Nothobranchius furzeri: one gene and its partners. The protein of the gene in region 1 purifies or fractionates together with the protein of each later gene. This does not show direct contact. Links are inferred from orthologs where the notes say so. Each region holds a gene or a part of one and is shown in the gene's direction. Other genes may lie near its edges.

What was found. Proteins that work in one complex are often made in the same cells at the same time.
Region 2: the proteins of ppp1cc (region 1) and polr2eb purify together in Homo sapiens (affinity purification with mass spectrometry; 4 studies listed by BioGRID and IntAct, with this or other methods). This does not show direct contact. The link is inferred for Nothobranchius furzeri from reciprocal best matches to the Homo sapiens genes PPP1CC and POLR2E.
Region 3: the proteins of ppp1cc (region 1) and rpl27 purify together in Homo sapiens (affinity purification with mass spectrometry; 3 studies listed by BioGRID and IntAct, with this or other methods). This does not show direct contact. The link is inferred for Nothobranchius furzeri from reciprocal best matches to the Homo sapiens genes PPP1CC and RPL27.
Region 4: the proteins of ppp1cc (region 1) and ppp1r7 purify together in Homo sapiens (affinity purification with mass spectrometry; 8 studies listed by BioGRID and IntAct, counting the BioPlex papers as one, with this or other methods). This does not show direct contact. The link is inferred for Nothobranchius furzeri from reciprocal best matches to the Homo sapiens genes PPP1CC and PPP1R7.

The regions. Positions count from the first base shown.
Region 1 is NC_091757.1:28,391,685-28,396,725, reverse strand, and holds the start of ppp1cc (serine/threonine-protein phosphatase PP1-gamma catalytic subunit A), read left to right. Parts: upstream 1-1,678; 5' UTR 1,679-1,987; coding exon 1,988-2,042; intron 2,043-2,566; coding exon 2,567-2,698; intron 2,699-2,877; coding exon 2,878-3,108; intron 3,109-3,790; coding exon 3,791-3,895; intron 3,896-4,112; coding exon 4,113-4,336; intron 4,337-5,041. UniProt on the Homo sapiens protein: Protein phosphatase that associates with over 200 regulatory proteins to form highly specific holoenzymes which dephosphorylate hundreds of biological targets.
Region 2 is NC_091748.1:48,493,716-48,498,905, forward strand, and holds the start of polr2eb (DNA-directed RNA polymerases I, II, and III subunit RPABC1), read left to right. Parts: upstream 1-1,780; 5' UTR 1,781-2,183; coding exon 2,184-2,240; intron 2,241-2,601; coding exon 2,602-2,776; intron 2,777-2,960; coding exon 2,961-3,076; intron 3,077-5,190. UniProt on the Homo sapiens protein: DNA-dependent RNA polymerase catalyzes the transcription of DNA into RNA using the four ribonucleoside triphosphates as substrates.
Region 3 is NC_091745.1:6,315,843-6,321,195, reverse strand, and holds the start of rpl27 (large ribosomal subunit protein eL27), read left to right. Parts: upstream 1-1,943; 5' UTR 1,944-2,049; intron 2,050-2,554; 5' UTR 2,555-2,556; coding exon 2,557-2,637; intron 2,638-3,800; coding exon 3,801-3,970; intron 3,971-5,353.
Region 4 is NC_091751.1:53,578,596-53,583,624, reverse strand, and holds the start of ppp1r7 (protein phosphatase 1 regulatory subunit 7), read left to right. Parts: upstream 1-1,619; 5' UTR 1,620-1,690; coding exon 1,691-1,730; intron 1,731-2,826; coding exon 2,827-2,922; intron 2,923-3,021; coding exon 3,022-3,077; intron 3,078-3,211; coding exon 3,212-3,277; intron 3,278-3,398; coding exon 3,399-3,529; intron 3,530-3,633; coding exon 3,634-3,796; intron 3,797-3,932; coding exon 3,933-4,049; intron 4,050-4,130; coding exon 4,131-4,235; intron 4,236-4,322; coding exon 4,323-4,409; intron 4,410-5,029. UniProt on the Homo sapiens protein: Regulatory subunit of protein phosphatase 1.

The DNA.
Region 1 (5,041 bases):
CAGCACTGTCTGTGGATGTCAGCATCACCACGCATTTGATCAGTTATAAAGTAGCCAAGGTATTTCACCTTCTCACACACATTAAGATCACTATTAGACAGTTTGAACACAGGAAAGTTTAGCTTTTTATCTTGCTTGGTTCTACATATCAAGATAGCACTTTTAACAGCATTATACTGGATATCGTACTGCACACCATATTCAGAACAGATATTCAGGAGCTGCTGTAAACCAGCACTACTTGGACTGAAGACCACCAGGTCATCAGCATACAAATTAAATAAGATAGACAGAATTCCACCCTGCCTAACACCATTACTAACACCAAATGGTGCAGAGATGCTGCCACCCCATTTAACCTGCATCATCTGATGAGCATACCAGTAAGACAGGATTCTCACAATAACCCCAGGGACCCCCCGTAGCTTTAACTTAATAAAAGGTTTTCTGTGGTTTACACGATCAAAAGCCTTAGAAGCATCAATAAAACACATAAGGACAGAAGAAGTTCTATTTCTATACCGGTTCACCATTTCTTTAAGTGCGTATATACACATGTCAGTACCAAGTTTTGGCTTAAAGCCAAACTGATTATCCAAGGAATTAAGGTACACAGTGATTCTATCAAATATGATTATTTCTAGATAAAACACTGGCTAGTGCAATCGGCCTATAATTATCTATACTGGTCACCTTCCCAGATTTGTTCTTAATAACTGGGACAAGCAGAATTGCCATCATTGAGTCTGGTAGTATGCCATGAATCATAAACCCTGTAAAACAAAGAGCTAAAAGGGAAGCTAGCCTTAGGCTAGTATATTTCAAATGTTCTGCACTAATGTGATCCAGACCACAAGCCTTGTTATCAGCTAGTTTGTGAATAGCTTCATGCACCTCATGGGTCGTTAAACATCTATATGTTCATCATTAATAACAGAGCCATCCTCATACCGATCACTTTTTAAACAATTTTACATTGCATAATAATGTTGTCTCCATAATGCTGCAATATTATCTTTCCCATTGATCTGCTATTTTTTAAAAGTGCATTTTAATTAATTACTCCATAATTATCTTGTAATAAGCTGATGTTCCCTTCAGATAAGAAAATATAAGTCAATCATGCAGCTTTTCTATTTCATAACGAATCAAATTCTACAGTATAATATGTAAAAAGAAACTTTCTTAATTTACATAGGTGTGTGTGTGTGTGTGTGTGTGTGTGTGTGTGTGTGTGTGTGTGTGTGTGTGTGTGTGTGTGTGTGTGTGTGTGTGTGTGTGTGTGTGTGTGTGTGTGTGTGTGTGTGTGTGTGTGTGTGTGTGTGTGTGTGTGTGTGTGCAAATTATGTATAAATTATATATTTTTTCTTTTTCTTTTTCACCCTATGACAAGGCCCAGACAGACATAAATACATTTCTGAACAGATTGCTCTTATAAGACGTCTTGATATTCCTGGTAAATGTGAATATCTGCCATGACACTTTCTGCTGCTTCTCCGTAGACATGAATGTCTGTGTGCTACCCATCGACATGTGCATATACTCCAGGTGCCACCTGCAGCTTTGTCGTGTTTATAATAATATGCTCAGGCGTTCTCACATCCAGACCAGTAGGAGGCAGCAGCGGTTTAGTTAGCAGCAGCTAGCTCTTAGCAGCTAGTTAGCAAGGTGCGGCAGCGGAAAAGGAAAACAGACTGGTCTCCTCTCCGCGCTAGCGCAGCTTACGTACATTTTTATGTCGCGGTTTTTATGAAGACGTACACTAGATTTTACTGAGAACAAATATTGCGATTTTTTTAAGTAGCTTATTATATTTTATGAATTATTAGCCAGCACGTAAACAGATACTGGGTTGATCTGAAATATTTCACGCTAAACCGGAAAATCAATATCGCTAAGACGATAGCTAATGCTAGGATAGCTAGCGGGTTAGCTCTCCGAACTGAAAGACCTACCTTTGGCTGAGTTCATTTAGTAAACGACTGCAATGGCTGATGTTGACAAACTCAACATAGACAGTATTATTCAACGTCTTTTAGAAGGCAAGTATGTTCATAAATGTTGTACATTTACACAAATTTTGACGCTTTACAAACAGGCAGCGCATTATATCATGAAACCCGTTTGCTAATGTTTTCCGTTATTATTGGTTTTACTCCCGAATTGACATCTAATGTGTTTTAATTGTAAATTTTCAATATAATCAAATGACAATGAAAGATTTGTAAAAACAGTTACTAAACTATATTAACGTAGTTGCGCATACCGGCGCTAGTCCGCCTTTGCGTGACCTATGATTTTAGCCGCTGCTGCTGGCTTTTATTCCTTCTCATCTACAGTAGATGATCTACTATTATACATATGAACATGTTTACTATATTTTAAACCAACAAAATAAACTTCGTAACGCTTGTCCCGATAGAATATAATAGTATGATGATGCATCTCGTACAAATACGTATGTTACTTCCTACATTTCCAAACAAATACTGCATCAGGCACTGCTGACAAAGCAGCAATAGTTATGTTGTTTTTTTGCTGACTGATGTTTGTGTTTTCTCTGCAGTCAGAGGAGCAAAGCCTGGGAAGAATGTGCAGTTGCAGGAGAATGAGATTCGTGGATTGTGCCTGAAGTCCAGGGAGATTTTTCTCAGTCAACCCATTCTTCTGGAGCTGGAGGCCCCTCTCAAAATATGTGGTTAGTAAAAACCATCATTTTTTTATTTACTGTTGCTTATTAATAAACGTTTTTCTCTTCGAGCTAGATTCTACCAATTACATAAATGTCAACATTTGATTCCAAAGTTAAAAGCTTGCTTGTCCAGTTTTTGCAGGTGCATTATTTATTTATTTATTGCTGTTTGTTTTGTTTTGCAGGTGACATTCATGGGCAATACTATGACCTGCTGAGGCTGTTTGAGTATGGAGGCTTTCCTCCAGAGAGCAACTACCTGTTTCTGGGCGACTATGTGGACAGGGGGAAGCAGTCTTTGGAAACCATCTGTCTTCTGCTGGCCTACAAAATCAAATACCCAGAGAACTTCTTCCTGCTGAGGGGAAACCATGAGTGTGCTTCAATCAACAGAATATACGGTTTCTATGATGAGTGTGAGCAGCTTGCCATTTAATTGTGTCACTGTTTGGTCTCTTGTGTGAACTTGCAGCAGCTTTCATGTTGTTAAACGTTTACCCCGGGTTTCCACGGGAGCCGTCAGCAGCACGTTACTGCAGCAGCACGTCTTGCTCGCGTAAGCTGCTGCTTGGCCCTTCCCACGAGACGCGAAGCAGCAGGGGAGCAGCTGTCACCGACAGAGCACGAAGTCACACGAGTGACTTCGTCAGTAAACACAACAACAAGCAGGAGAAAACTACAACATGGTTTGGGTTTTATGTTCTGTCCGTTTTATAATGGCCAATACGGACCTGAAAACAAAGGAGACCGCTAGCTAGGTGATAACTTCTCATGGGGACGCACAGTTAGTAACCTTTTTTAAAAGTAAAGCAACCGGAAGGCAGTACGTTCTTTATTCTGAAAATCTCTGTAGCTTCTCTCCTTTTCCGCGTCAGATTTCCTGTCTTTCCTTCCCCAAAAATGTCGAACTTGACCCGTTTCAGAGGCGTCGCGCGTAGAAAATAGAACTGGCGCGTAAAGGCTGCGACATGCTGCTCCTGAGACGCGGCCGACTCGCGCTGCTGACGGCTCCTGTGGAAAGCCGGGGTTAGTGAAAACTTGAATTTTTGTTGCTGTTGTGCCTTCAAAATAAAAGCATAACTATTTGTCTTGTTTTAGGTAAACGAAGGTACAACATCAAACTCTGGAAGACCTTCACGGATTGTTTTAATTGCCTCCCTATTGCTGCCATTGTGGATGAAAAGATATTTTGCTGTCATGGAGGTGTGTTTTGTCTTTAACAGAATATTGATGTTTAATCAGAACGTTTATGTTGCCTAGTGGAAAGCAGCTCGTCAGAAGAGGCTTGGCTTTGACGTCAGCCGTTCTTATTTGTCATTGTGAAATGATGTTGACTGGTGTTTGCAGCGACCCATGTGAAGTAGGTCTGACCTCTGTATCAGTTTGTTTGTTTGTACAACTGCTGTGTTGTTGCTTTCAGGACTGTCACCTGACCTTCAGTCGATGGAGCAGATCAGACGCATCATGCGGCCCACGGACGTGCCTGACCAGGGCCTCCTGTGTGATCTGCTTTGGTCCGATCCAGACAAAGATGTTTTGGGCTGGGGCGAGAATGACAGGGGGGTCTCGTTCACCTTCGGCTCAGAGGTGGTTGCCAAGTTTCTGCACAAGCATGACCTCGATCTGATCTGCCGTGCTCATCAGGTAACTGTGCTCACACGGTGGTGCATGGACATCGCGTCCTGTGCTGGCAAACTGTAGACTAAAGAGGAGGCCAGGTGCTCTTCTTACATTATGATCCCGGTGGGAAAGGAGGATTGTTCCTCTCAAATGGAGGGAATAGAAGCTAGCTCTCATTCACTCCTCCATGAAGGTCCTGATAATGTAAACAGAGAAGCATAAAACAGGATGTTAGCTGCAGACTGAAACAGATCCTGTTCAACTCATCCGCTGATTAATGTGTTTATGTAAGAACACACATAGTAGTGTTGTGTTTAGATCAGTCATATGGCTGAAGCCTGCACCTACATGCATGCCTCTCTGTCAGCCAGATGCTAAATGGTGGAGAGTTTTAATATTTCTGTGGGTTTTTTTTTAGTATTTGGTCTTTTTTCTTGTTTCAGATCATTCAGAGCGTGGACTCAGTTAAAAGACAGGAGGGTTTTATGTGAAAATAAGACTTATTTTCTTCTTCAGCATCTAAAATCAAGAACCGTTTCAGAAGTTTATCGTTTGTAATATTAGTATTTGAATACTCAAGCCACATCACATAAAGCAGACCTGCCCAACCTGTACGCATTTTGCGTAGCCAATTTGGCATCTATCTACGCTGGTACGACTCACCCCTCTAAACTACGCAAAAAGCTAACGATACGTGAGTTGAGTTCTGTGGCAAACATACGCGTGTGG
Region 2 (5,190 bases), on another chromosome or scaffold:
AATATATCTTGGTGCAAATGAACAAAAATGCATTATAGAATAAATACAACGAATAAATCAAAATGTCAGTCCCTTACCATAGCCTGCAGCAGGACAGAGAGAAACACTGTGCACCCTAACAGGCGCATGGCTGCCCCTCTCTCAGCTTCTCTGTTACAGAACAATCTAATCTGTCAGAGCAACCCCCTCACTGCTGAACCTCACATCTGACAGAGCCTTAATGTACAAGGGGCGGGTCGAAATGACCAGAAATGATAAGCTGGATTTCTCCAATAGGTTCCTCTCTTAGGTCCTAACAAAACAAACCCTGATCAAAAGCACGCGTGCTGCAGGCCAAAGTTCATAGCTATGTCATAAAACTCACAGAAAGATGAGGTGCATGTGACTCGGGCGAAAGGTAAAAGTCCAATCAAACGCATAATGTGATTATTCATATAAAACAGTCTGTTACACAAGCGCGGTCAGGGCCAACAAACAAATCATATAAATCCCTGACGACAAACGAATGAGTGTTTCAAGCTGTTAGAATAAACAGCATTGTGTGCTTATGAGGTTAAAGTGCAGGAAGGAAGAAACGCTGAGCAAATCAGAAAATGTGCAATTAGAGAAGGTGATGACATCATTTACTAATACAGTTCTGATTTACAAAGATGGTCACAAATTAGACACAGAACAAAAATAAATCTAAAACTAACAGAAAAGTGTTTATACCATGAAGGTATTAATACTATGATGATGATAGGCTTATCAGCTTGTCGCAACAGGGGGGTGGGGATGATGCAGAGGAATGCTGGTGTCCTATCGTGACTTTCAACATTTACACAACCTGAAGTGCGTTGCCTGTGTAAATACTGTCTGCAATCGTGCCCGCAAGGGCACCACAGATGTCACAGCAGCCATATTCAGTTACACAACTTCTAAATCTCATTATAAAACAAGCCAAGTATCACGGAGGTTTACTTTACCGCTGCCGTGGATAAAACAAAATACAAAATCACGGCCAGTAGTGTCCCGCTGCTCGCCACAGCCCCCAAGCCCAAAACAACATATAACGGCCTCATTTAGTTATAGAAAAGGTCACTTCTGTCGAAAATCCATGCGTTGTTCGGTTGTTCGTTGTAGCTGCACGTGACTCCGCCCCGTTGTAGGCTACTAGGTGGGCCAAGGGTAAAATTATTATTATTATTATTATTATTATTATTATTATTATTATTATTATTATCATCATCATCATCATCATCATCATCACTGTTGTCGTTGTTGTTGTATTGAGCATTGTTGTCGGAAATCATGGAGTCTGCACCATTAAGTCTCTGGCGCATGTCACGGCGCGCTGTGCGAGAGGGGGAGTTTACTCACGAAGCAGCATGTACAGCACGTCACTCGCACTGAAACAAACACCCTCTATCTAATACAATCAATTAGAGGTCGTACAGAGTTTCACCATTTGATGGCTTTAACGTTCAAATCGAAGGAGGAGGGTGTTGGATAAATTATTTACTTTATCTGGGACATGGATTAGATCATGCCCCCATTATTTATCTGCACAGAAAGATTGCTGGGGTGTTCGGTCTTACACAATCAGACTAAATACAGCAACACCCACTTTTCACACCTTGTTCATTTAGGATACGATTCGTGGCGCACACAGTCTTGACACATTTCCGTGTACTGATCCACAATGATGCATCTAGTCTGATTGTGTAAGAACGAACAAATGGTCTGACTCCAGCATGCTTTCCATACTGATAAATAATGGGGACATGATGTAATTAAAATTATCCAACAGGGGACACAAATCTGCCCTCTAGTGGCGAAAATCTTTATTTAACTAACAGAACAGCGGCGGTGATTGCTGGTTTATGATGACGTCTTTGAAGTTAATTTGCTGGAAAAGCCTCGTTGTAAGATGGCACTGTCGTTAACAAATGCTAGAGGCGCAATAACTTTAGAAGGTCTCTGAACCAAGCGAAAAACCCCATTCCTGGTCTTTAGTCAGATAAAAAAGCACATGAACACCGGCAAAGCAGAGAAGGAGCAAACCCCTTCAGGTCAGCTTTTCTGACGTCATCAGCCTGTGTCAGTCAATCGGGAAACGTGCGTTCGCTTAAAGAGCGATATTGATAACAAAAAAAAAATCATTTTCTGACCAAATCTAGTGCACACAGCTTATTTAGCAGGACATGGATGATGAAGAGGAAACATATAGACTTTGGAAGATCCGCAAAACCATCATGCAGGTTCGTTAGGTTTGAATGTTTTCTTTATTTAGCTTGTTAGCCTCTTTTAGCTCGTTAGCTCAACATGAATGAATGTATTTTTTATCACTGAAGTTCCGTTAAATTTGACTTGTGTACTCCTTATTTTAACATTATGACAGCCTGGCTAAACACTAGCTTGTTCAACACTTGTTCCACTGGTATTTTAAGCAGTTTACCAAAGTACGAAGCAAGACTAGCGGCTCTAACCTGACTGCAACAATTGTTTCTGTAAAATTTAAATAAGTGTGTTTAAGTTCGACAAAATAACAGACGAATTATTTAATTTTAATGTTTATTAAATGAGTTTTCTGATACCTTCTCTGATGTTTTCCTCCTTCAGCTGTGCCATGATCGAGGTTACCTTGTGACCCAGGACGAGTTGGACCAGACTCTGGAGGAGTTCAAGAGTCAGTTTGGAGACAAACCGAGCGAAGGTCGTCCCAGACGAACAGATCTCACGGTGCTGGTGGCACACAATGATGATCCCACTGACCAGATGTTTGTTTTCTTTCCCGGTATGTTTATTTTAACTGGGAGATTGAACAGAAATGGAGACCAGGTGACTTTTGTGACTTTTGCTCAGTGCATCAGTCTTTTCTAGAAGTAACTGGGTGATTACATTTGGAACAGAGAAGCGTGTTTGATTTGAAGAAAATTGTTATGAATTCATCTTTTTTTTGTCCATTTTTGTCCCACCAGAGGAACCCAAGGTGGGGATCAAGACCATTAAAATGTACTGTCAGAGAATGCAGGAGGAGAATATCACTCGAGCCATCATCGTTGTTCAGATGGGCATGACGCCTTCAGCAAAACAGGTATGTTTATGTTCATGTATTTAGCAGACGCTTTTGTCCAAAAGACCTACAAGTAATAATGAAGCCAGCAGGTTGCCCTTGAGGCTTACAACAAACACTAATCAGTCAATCCTAGGTGGCAGTGAGGCAGCATAATGAATCGTAAAGGGAAGTGAATAAGGAGTGGACAGTAGAGTGGGGGACGGGTGCAGGGAGGGTGCTAGCTTAGAAGATGCTCTCTGACGAGCTGGGTCTTCAGGAGTTTCTTGAAAATGGACAAGGTCAAAGAGATCTCGCAGTACAGGCAGGAAGACCAGTTAGAAGGGCATTGCAGTAGTTGAGGTTGGAGATGACTGTAGATTGAACCAGGAGCTGGGTGGCATATTTTGTTAGATATGGTCTGATCTTTTATATGTTATACAGCATGAAGCGGCATGAACGAGTGACAGAGGCAACTTGATCTTTAACTCATTTCCTGCCATTGATGACTAAAGTCATCATTTGTATTTTTTTTTTTACTGTGTGGGTGTCGGAACGAGCTCCCGTACCGTGAGAACAAACATCCCAGCTCTAAAGCTGATCTTTATCCATGTACATCACACGTCACATGATCAGGAAGCAAAAAATCCATGTGTTAGGAGATCGTTTTGGGCTGCTGCTGTAAAAAAAAAAGTGAGGCACGATCCAGAAAAGCTTCTGCCGATCACAATTCGACAACGGATTATGAAAAAATGGATAACACTCTAAACACGCAGATTATTCCAGATGTAAGAGGTGAGTCTACTCTTTGTTTTGGTAGTTTGGGCGTTGACATCATCATAGAGTGCAACGTTCGGTGACTTTTCAAAAAACTGTGAAAACGCTGAAAACCTCTGGCAGCGAAGGGCTTTACTGATCAGGAAACGACCGGAAGGTAATGAGTTAAAGGTCAGCTGGTCATAAATCACAACACCCAAATTTCAAATTGTGTGTGAAGGAGCCAGAGATAGGGGCTCGTTTTGCATTGAGATATTGTGTCGTATGGATGGGTTTGCTGGGATGTCAAGTAATTCAGTTTTTGAGAGGTTGAGTTGGGGATGGTGAGATTTCATCCATCTTGATATATCAGAAAGACAGTCCAAGATTTGTACAGAGACTGTGAGGTCGTCCGGACGAGAATGACAGATAGAGCTGGGTGTCGTCAGCATAGCAGTGGTAGGAGAGGCCATGCGATCGAATGATCTCACCCAATGTGGTGGTGTATGTGGCAAAGAGAAGAGGTCCTAGTAAAGAGCCCTGGGGGACTCCTGTGGCAAGATGGTAAACAGCAGAAGATTGTCCGAGTCAGGTAAGATTCAAACCAGGAGTGTGCTTTCCCTGTGATGCCCATGCTAGAGAGTATGGACAAAAAGAAGCCACGGTTGACTGTGTCAAATTCAGATAAGTCAAGCAGGATAAGCACTGAGGATTTGGGCAGTCGCTCTAGCTTATTTTAAGGCTTCAGTGGAGTGGCCATTTTTGAACCCAGATTTGTATGGGTCAAGCAGATAGTTTTGTGAGAGGTGCTCTGCAACCTGCTTGAAGGCCGCCTTTTCGATGATTTTAGACAGGAACGGGAGGAGAGAGATAGGTCGGTAGTTCTCCACACGATTTGGAGGAAGGGAGTTGGTTTCTGAGTGTCAGAAGTGCTGAGAATTTTGTCAGTGTAGAAAGCTTTCTTTGCATTAGTGATGCTGGCAGAGAATGAACTTTGTACCGTTTTTAGATCAAATGATAACATTAAGGACAGGAAACCTGATGAAATGGGGTTGTCCAGATGAATATTCATGTCTCCAAGGACCATTGTGGGACAGTCATGCTCAGGAATGGAGGAGAGCAGGGTGTCAAGTTCATCTAGAAAGTCTCCGTGTTGTCCTGGTTGTCGATATATAACAACCATAAAGAATAATTTTCGGTGCAGTTACCCAGATGGCATGGTATTCAAAGGAGATGTACTTAGTTATGGGTAGCAACTGACTGTATTTCCATTTGTTGGAACTTAACATGCCTGTTCCACCACCTCGGCCAGATGCATGAGAAGTGTGGTTGATTGAGAGTGCAGCTGGGTTCATCGTCACCAGGTTTGATCCAGGTCTCAGTGAGAGCCAGGGCATCAA
Region 3 (5,353 bases), on another chromosome or scaffold:
CTTTACTGTTGGTCCTCAGTTTGTTACCGCCGTGTTTCAGATGGTTAGTTGTCTAGTAGCGCGCCGAAGACAAAAAAAAGACATCGCCGAACAAACAGGTGCTTCGCCATCTTGGGAAAGATGATTCATACGTCAGGGAGGAACAAGCAGGAGTTACAGGGAATCACCGGAAGTTGTGAATCTTTACCTTCAAAATTAAAGAAGAAGATTGTCGCCCAACCCTGTTGGAAATTTTTGTCTTGCTGAACATAAAAACAATATTCGTGCTTTAGAGAAACTATAAATATAAGAGCAACCTTATGTAATCCGTATCTGATTTCTTATCAGAATTCTTTTGTCAGTAATATTATTTGGAAAAGAACACAGACAATTCCTAACAAGTATTTTCTAACAAATAAGGTCAAGAATTCTCATTCAAATTACTTCATAAATGTTATCCAGCGAATCGTTATATGACAAAGTTCAAGTGGGACATTCGAGTCATTGGGTGTTGGGTATATTTTATTATACATAAAGCCCTCCCATTTCTGTCTAAATTTGCTAATGAGTGCAAATGGACGGTTGCCACCACCGTCATCTTGGCCATGTCACACCTGCCGTCACATCCAGACATATCCAAAAATGGGAAAAGAGGTGGAGCTGAGAGTGGGCTGTGCGGGTGAGAGCAAATGATTGACACTCAAAGACTCTGAACCAACATAAACTGAGCTAAAAGGCAGATTGCGGATCTCTGATCAAAAGGCCAACGCTGCTAAAGGGAGAGAAACATTACCAAAACTCGGCAAACCTCCCTTCTGCAGGTGCGACCTCACGGATCTTTGACCGTGGTGGACCAACGAAGCCTCCACTTGCCTAGGTTAGCTTACCTAGCTCCACTTTTCTTACCTAGCCAGCCCTACCAACACGTTATATTTCAACCCATCTTTGACTAAGCAGTAGTGTTAAATGCACACTGCACACAGCTGCGCAAAATAAGACCCTTACTCCACTCCCACCTTATGTTGCAGCAACAAATGCTGTTGCCTGCAGAGTGACAGGGCGGAGCCACTAACAAATGCACACACACACAAGCTCAGAACAACATTGTGACATCATAATGTACCAGCTAACGTCATGGTGTACCTCTTGGCCAACAGCAATGGCAGATTTAAATTCAAATGTGGTGCAGAGTTTTTACCTGAAGATGGCACCACACTGACAGTTTTAGGCAGAATATTTAAATTTTAACTAAGATGCAGTAAAGTGCCAAATTATGGACTACATGTGTATAGAGCACGATTAGACACTCCTAGTTTATCAGCAAAAAAAGCTGATTTGGGGTTGACTTGTTCTATAACCTCAATACTTGAGACCCAGCAGATATAATATGTCAAGCAGTGTGATAAATGTAACAAGGTTTATTATTTTATCAAATTTCACGTTTTTCAGGGTTTTTAAATAAGAGAAACAGAAAAAAATATTTGCAAAACAGGACTTCTTCACCAAATTCCCCAAGATCTGGCTGCAGACTCTCTTTCCACAGTCACCGCTGCAGACCGATGCTGCAGACAAAAACCTGCAGCTAGGAAAGACGGTTTGCAGTGACATGAAATAGCAAATGTAGTAGAGCTCTTCCAGCCAATCAGAGGCGAGAAAGCCGGGACCTTCCTTGGACGTCCTACGATTCCAAAGCTTCCAGCGTCTGGCCGGAGGAGGAGGGGACTGGCTCTGAAAAACTTATGTTTTGAAAGAGGGGCTTATCCATCCGACATATAAAAAATTTCAACTAGTGGTATTATTTTAAAAAATCAATAAATAAAAGTGGGCCCCTTGAAAGCCAGTGTTGGACACCGTTTTAAAAACGGAATTCAAACAATATTTCAGTTTTTTGTTTACATTTTTGTAAACCAATACATTTGTTTTTTTAATGAATTGTTCTTGAATTAAAAGAAATAAATAACGACAGTTGAAACCTACTTCCGGAAGTGACGTAGGAATATGAGCGGGTCAAAGGTGACTAGATCCTTTAGCACTTCCTTTCCTGCTAGCGGTGGCCGTAGAACAGCATCAGTGAGTGAATTTTTCTTCCAAGTAATCCTCATCCATCGTGCCAGAGCTACCTTGTGCTGTAGTTTGTATTTCAACATATGCAAAGCAGTCATCCCCTTTTCAGTATACATTCGTTATTATGTTCGTTTCCCATTGATTTATGAAGAAAATTAGCGCTTTAGAGTGGAAACATTTCTCATCCTCCGCTCTTTCCAACATGGCAGCTTCCTTAATGTAAACGCTGAGTTTAACTCATTGCCGTACTTGCTGGAGTATTTTTTTTAATGTATTAACAATCTGTTAGTTTAATTTAGGACACATTTCAGGTTGAGTTAAAATAGTTCGTAGAGAACGTGAGAGCAAAATAAATGTGTAAAACTGATTTATTAGCTGTTCCGTAGCTGAATGCTAACTACGATACAGTTCCAACGAGGCCTAGACTCATGTTTAATGATGGCATTTGGTGTGTGTGGGTCAGCACTGTTTTGTTGAGTGAAACGGACACCTAAAGTGTTTCTTCTTACAGCAATGGGCAAGTTTATGAAGCCTGGAAAGGTGGTGATGGTCCTAGCTGGACGCTACGCCGGACGTAAAGCGGTAATCGTGAAGGTAAAACTAGTCATTTACTGCTGGATTGTGATGGCTCTGTGAAAAGTCTCGACACAATACAGAAACTACAGATATCAGGTCAAGACGTGACTGACGGGTTTTTGAAAGACCTTCATGGAAATGTCACATTTAGTGGAAAGAAATGTTCAATAATCGTACTGGTATAGTGCCTTTCAGAGTCCAAGAGGACACCAAAGTGCTTTATAATACAGCAGGGGTATGCAATGTGGGGCCTGGAGATCTGATATCCAGCACATTTTTAGTTTTAACTCCATCAACACACCCGATTTCAGTCCGCAGGTGATTAACAGGCTTCTGCAGAGCCTGATGAGCTGCTGCACAGATGCATCAAATGTGTTGAATCAGAGAAACCACTGAAACGTGCTGGGTACTGGACCTTGAGGACCAGAATTGAATACCCCTGCACTACAGTGCAGTTCATACATTCACACACTGGTGGTGATTAGACAATCTTGGTTCTCGAGTGATGCTATTCAGCATATTTTAGTTGCAACACTTCTGATCCAGTGGTTGAATCACCTGTTCAGCTGCTCGAGCTCTGCAGAAGCCTGTTAATTACCAGCTGATTAAAATCGGTGTGTTGAAACTGGGGACGTAATTAAAACATGCTGGATGGCAGCACTCGAGAATCAGGATTGCCTACCCCCAATCTATAATTTAGCCACAGCTGCCCTGGGTCACTGACAGGCGAAGATGCCAAACAGGCAGCACTGGTCCCTTTTACCACCACCAGCAGCCAAGGTGAGAGAGGTGTCTAGCTAGGGCTGGGCGATATGGCCTAAAATCAATATCATGGTATATTGAGGAGTTCACCTCGATAACGATAAATGAACGATAACTACATGTATGTGCAAACCCAACCCACACACCTTTCCATTTTTTTATTGAATTTATTGCCATGGAAAATTAGGACAATAGATGTAATAGATACATTTTCTATTAATTGCCCAGCCCTATGTCTTGCACAAGGACACAACAGCAGAGTTCTCTGCCTGTAGCCCGATTGATCCTACAGCCAGATAACTGGTCATCCCGCTCAGAATGTTGAAAATTTCTAGCAGCAGCTGTCATTGTCTTTGTGGCAACATTTATGTTTAAATTTGTACCAAACCTGATTTTACAATTTATTGATCTCTTGGCAGAACATTGACGATGGCACCGCCGACCGTCCCTACAGTCACGCTCTGGTTGCAGGCATTGACCGCTATCCCCGTAAAGTGACCACAACTATGGGCAAGAAGAAGATCGCCAAGAGGTCCAAGATCAAGGCCTTTGTCAAAGTTTTCAACTACAACCACCTCATGCCCACCAGGTCAGTGTCACAATGCCACACTGTTTTTTTGTGTTTTGCAAGTTTTATTGAAAAGGTTGTTGACTGTTCAGATCAAAAGCTTTCACCCCCAAATTCCACTACCTCCGCTCCGCTCCGACACGAACGCCGGAGCAAAATCGGTCCCGTTGTAGTCAATCAGAGCAATTCCACTACTGCGGCCGTGCTCCGGCAGTGCGGCGCCATGCGCCGCCCTCTGTTCCGGCGTCCGGCAAAAATAGAATCGATCCTATTTTTGCCGGAGCACCTCCGCAGTCAATGGACAGAAATCACAACGGCCCAACAGGAAAAGGAGCAAGCACAACTTCCGTTTTTCACAATAAATCAATAAACAAAAGGCGTTTCTTGTTTCATATGAACAGGTTTAACAACTTTTAACAACGATCAATGACGGCTGAAGTTTAAATGCACAAAAGTAAGCCATAAATACAGTTTCTACTATCAAAGTAGTCACACTTTGTTGATCCAAACACTGCTGATCTCTCAACACAAATGATGGGCAGATTAAACAGTTCATGCCGATGCTTCTCCCACACAACGGGTGTTTGGATCTAACTTCTGCGTTTATTGCTCGGACTGTATCGCAAGATCTCAAAAATCCCGCGCATGCTTGTTTGCCCAGCTCAGGTCTCCGCACCGGAGCGGAGCCGTTGTAGAGCGGGTACCAGTAAAAATTGAGTTCGGAAGCGAGCGGCTGCGGAAGGCGGGGGCGGAGCAGAGGTTGTGGAATTTGGGGGTTAGGCTCTGCAGATTAGTTACAGTGGAAATCGGAAGGTACAATTTCAATCACATAATTTACGGTACAGCCATCTCACATCAAGCCTAGAAATATGTGAATAACACGGCTTTTTGTTGTGTACACAGTAGGGATGGACAATGTATCGGTATCAGCCGATGTTAGTCATTTAACATATCGGTATCGGTCCGATAAATAAAACCAGGCCGATATTCACAACCGATATATTTCCCATCTTGTCTCCATTTGTTTATCGTGAGGGTGAGGGGGGTGATGTGTAATTGTTTAGTCATGTGATTGTAATAATCTCATAAGTGTAAATGTGTGTGATGTGTGTACGTAACATAAATTCAGCTTTAATCGTTTTCATTCTATACAAAAGCTGCTGATTTTAGAAGCATTAATGTCGGTATAACGGTATCGGCAAATACTGGTTATCGGCCATAACAGTGATCTTAATATCGGTATCGGCCCAAAAATTTCTTATTTTATTTTGTGTGATTTTTCAAGAGAATACAGTGTTTGTGTGCAGTAGGCATGAAATCTATTTATAAAACCATTTTAATAAACTCAGAAGGAAGCTTGTAGTTATCTTTGAGATGCATGAATTTGTTTTGTTGATCAGATGT
Region 4 (5,029 bases), on another chromosome or scaffold:
ACCAGGAAACATTTTTCCAATCTTTTATTGTTTAGTTTTGGTGAACCTGAGTGAATTATAGCCTCAGATTCCTGTTCTTAGCTGACAGGAGTGGCACCTGGTGTGGAAATCTGCTGTTGTAGCCCATCTGCCTCAAGGTTCAACGTGTTGTGCGTTCAGAGATGCTCTGCATACCTTGGTTGTAACGAGTGGTCATTTGAGTTAATGTTGTTGTTCTATCAGCTTAAACTAGTCTGGCCTTTCTCCTCTGACCTCTGACATCAACAATTTATTTTCACCCACAGAACTGTCGCTCACTGGATGTTTTTCCTGTTTTGGACCATTCTCTGTAAACCCTAAAGATGTTTGTGTGTGACAATCCCAGAAGATCAGCAGTTCCTGAAATACTCAGACCAGCCCAGCTGGCACCAACAATCATGCCACGCTCCAAATCAATGAAATCTCCTTTCTTCCCCATTCGGAAGCTTGGTTTGAACTGCAGCACATCATCTTAAACATGTCAACATGCCTAAATGCACTGAGTTGCCCCCATGTGAATGGCTGATTAGTAATTTGTGTTAACGAGCAGTTTGACAGATGTAAATAAAGTGGCCAGTGAGTGTAGAACCTGCCACATTATATATCCATCCATCCATTATCTGAGCCCACTGGTCCATGCAGGGTTTTAAGGGGGCTGGAGCCAGCCTCCGGCAGTCGGTGGGCAGGTAGGCAGGCAGGGTACACCCTGGACAGGTTGCCAGTCCATCGCAGGGAAACACAAAGACATACAGGACAGACAATGAAGCACACACACCTTAGGACAATTTTAGACAGACCAATTAACCTGATAGTCGTGTTTTTGTAATGTGGTGGGAAACTGGGGTACCTGAGGAGAGCCCACACGTGCACAAGGAGACCATGCAGGCTCCTTGCAGAGAGACCACAGGCCAGGATATCAACCCAGGACCTTCTTGCTGCAAAGCAACAGCCCCCACATTATATTTATTATGAATATAGTGCAAAAGTCCATTTATTTCAGTATTTCACTCCAACTGAGTGACCATTTAAAGCCTTTGGAACCATTTGCATGTGTTTTGGATCAATTGGCTGAATGTCACACTTTGAGCCTATTAAACCTTTAAACAATATTTTAACTGTCTGAGATTTTTATTTTAGGGTTTTTATAAGCTGTAAACCATATGTTAGAATGTATATTAGTTTTGCTAAAACAGACAATAAAATTATTTAAGTCAGCACGTTTCATTCAAATGATCAGACATTTAGTTAAACTAAAATATGTTTGAGGATGCAAACATTTATGCAAAATGGTTAAATCCATGAATTCTTTGATGTTCTTGTGATCTTCTTGGTAGTGTACATTTAGTCCCAGTATCTCACAGATATTTTAAATCATAACACATTGGGCTATTTCAATTCAATTCAAGTTTATTTATAGAGCGCCAAATCAGGGCAAGAGTCGTCTCAAGGCACTTCACATAGTAAGCATTGCAATACATTTGAATAACTAACTAACTAACTAACTAACTAACTAACTAACTAACTAACTAACTAACTAACTAAATTAAAAATAAATAAATAATATTGTCTGTGTTATTTTTCAGTGTGGAGCAACAGCGCCATCTAGTGTATGAGTGCCGTCTGCACTTCCACCTGATTGGCCGAGCGGTTGCCAGGAGTGTTTACAAGAAACATGGCTTCCCTGGTTGTTGGAGAGCCACAAGAAATGGAAGGTGAGTACAAAATCACTCAAACAAGCCATCCTGATATGACTTTATCAGACTGAGGAAGATGCAACCATCTGAAGATATTATATAAATTTGAATAAAATCGCTCTCGGTGACTCGTTGTTTCTGTTACTGACCAGTCATTCATCCTGGGTTTGTCAGCTAACAGGCTATCAACAAGACGTTAGCTAGTTGGCGTTATCAACGTAGCATCTAGTCACTCTGTACTTTTTAACGAGTTTTACTCGGCATGATATAGATGCAGTGCTGAACGCAGAAGTTAAGGTCTTAAGTCGATTGCATGCTGTGCATTTAACTGGTTTAAATGTATTTGCTTTACTTTTGAGCTTCCTTGCATTCAGCTGCCGAGCTACCTTGCTCGTTTAGCATTGCGTAAAGTGTCTATTTAAAGTGTCAAACCTCACATTTCAAACTGGTAAGACTCGGAATGTTGCTGAAACGGTTTATTTAGTAATCAGTAAGTCTGGTTTTAGTGTCGTGCCTATTCTCTTGTTGATTCCACTTTCGCTGGACATTGCTAAGTGTAGAAAAACAGCTCCTAAACATGATATACGATCAACATTTATTGGCAAAAGTAGCATACTTACATACTCCTCTGAGACTGAGATATGACACCCCACCTAGTGCTTTCATTCAATATTCCTAAGGATCTTTTTAAAGACTCTCTCTAGACATTGGACTGCTTTTTTACTTATTACCAGTCTACACCCAGTCTATTTTAGAGCGAGTTTTTGAAATGTTTTTGTTTAAGCTGCTTATTTCGGATCTATGAATCATTCAGGAACAAAAATACTTCAAAGCTCAAAGGATGAACCAGTGTTGACACATCGAGAAAAAAGGGAGGAAAGACACTTCAGACACTGTTTTTGCTTGCAGCTTGTCAAAAAGATAATTTGCTCTATTTTTTTTTAGCATTTTATCTTAACTTTCATCTTTTAACACAAAGTTTGCCTGCGTATGATCAGTGGAAGGATAAGTTATGTGTTAGGTCTTAAAAACAACAGGGAACAAGTACTGGTCTGGTCAATCCGCAAACTTTGTGACAACGTTTTACAATAAAGCTTCTCTTTGTTGACTGCAGTAGACCGAAGAGGTGAGTCTGAGGAGTCTGGTGATGATGAGACCAGGAGGAAGGGTATCAATGGTGATGTGGACCCCAATCAGCCTACTGCTGCAAGTAAGCCCTCCACAGTTCTCCGGCATTAAACATGCTTCATCAGTCAGACTGGTTAATGTGCAAAGGAATGCCAAGCTTGTTTATTCTTTCTCACTTGAGGTAAAGAAGAATCACCTGTTGACATGGACACCATTACCTTGGACCCAGAAGAAGAGGTTAGACTGCCTTCTAAATAAAACTATTTTCATCCCAAATGCAAAACGAACACAATTATTGAAGTATATTACTTAATAAAAATATATTAATATGTCTTACATTCATTATCGTTAATTCTCCACGTTCCTTCTAGGATGTTGATCTTGTTCACTGTCGTATTGGAAAAATTGAAGGACTTGAGGTGCTGCAGAAGGCTAAGGTGGGTTATTTATCAATGTTTGTGTGACATTTAAACCAGACGGATGCTTTTAACAATCTAAAACTGTCCTGCATAATAACCACAGACTGTATTTATTTATTGCTTTGCTCTGTACATCTAGACGCTCTCCTTACGACAAAACCTCATCAAAACCATAGAAAACCTTCAGAGTTTGAGCTCCCTGCGGGAGCTAGATCTCTATGACAATCAAATCCGCAAGCTAGAGAACCTGAGCAACCTCAGAGAGTTAGAGTAAGTCTGGGAAAATATCGTTTTTGACCAAAAAGCACCAGCTTCTTTACGGAATTAAGAGGAATGGGGGAAGTTTACTTTGTTTTGTTACAATGAACCTGCAGGCTGCTCGATGTTTCCTTTAACGTTTTGAGGAAGGTGGAGAATTTGGAGGAGCTGACTCAGCTGAAGAAACTGTTTCTGCTTCACAACAAAATTGGCACCATCTCTAATGTGGACCACCTCTCAAGTCTTGAGATGCTAGAGCTGGGCTCTAATCGCATCAGGGTGAGCCTAAATGGGTCTCTGTATAGATTTTGGGGCTAAACTCTCACAGTTGGAGTAAATAACACAGAAAATTTTATAAAATAACTGTGATTTTACTTTTAGGCAGTCCATTTGTGTCTTTCATTTGTATTTGCAGGTCATTGAGAACCTGGATGGACTTTCATCTTTGCAAAGTTTGTTTCTTGGCACCAATAAAATAACAAAGCTTCAAAACTTGGACAGTTTACACAACCTGTCTGTTTTAAGCATTCAGGTATCCCTTGACAAATCCCCTTCTAACAGGACTCAGGTGTGTATTTTAAGAAAGTGGTTGATATGTTTTTGTTATTTGCAGAGTAATCGGATTACTAAGATTGAGGGTCTGCAGAACCTTGTCAACCTGAAAGAGCTCTATCTGAGCCACAATGGGATTGAGGTCATAGAGGGCCTGGAAAACAACGTGAGTCATAGAAACCATTCAGCTGCACAAACAACAGTGTTTGTTCTGGACTTTCAAAAAATCTTTTACATTTTTTTTTTTTTACAGAAAAAACTCACCACACTGGACATTGCTGCCAATCGAGTGAAGAAAATCGAGAACATCAGCCACCTGACAGACCTGCAGGAGTTCTGGGTATGGATTATTTTAAGGCTGAATGAGAATTTGATTATTTAGAAGTTGTGTTTTTTATTTATACTTGGCTGTTGACAGCGAGTTGAGTCACGTTTAGTAACTCTTCTGCTTCATTTGGGTTAGTCGTTGGCAGTGTTGGGAACGTTACTTTTAAAAAGTAATTAGTTGTAGTTACTAATTACTTTGTCAAAAAGTAACTCAGTTACTTACCAAGTTACGAGATTATAAAAGTAACTAATTACCAAGAAAAATAACTACTTGGTTACTTTTTTCGTTAAAGAATACAAGAAAAATGGGTTCCCCTCTTAATTAAACTTACTTTATTTACTATAAATGACTACAATAGTGAAATATAAATGACTAATGCCTGGAACATAATAAAGTGTATGTCCAAATGCTTTCTTTTATAAACCTGAATAATTTAAATAAATAAGCACTTAACAGGAGGAACTACTAACAGGAACATTACACTTATCTAGACTATTAAAAGGTCACTGTGTGATATTTAACAAGACCCCAATCAGTCAAAATTTAAAATTGCAAATAGAAACACCTGTAAAGGTTCCTGAGCCTTTAAATGGTCTCTCAGTCTAGTTAAATTACTGAGATAAATGTAATGT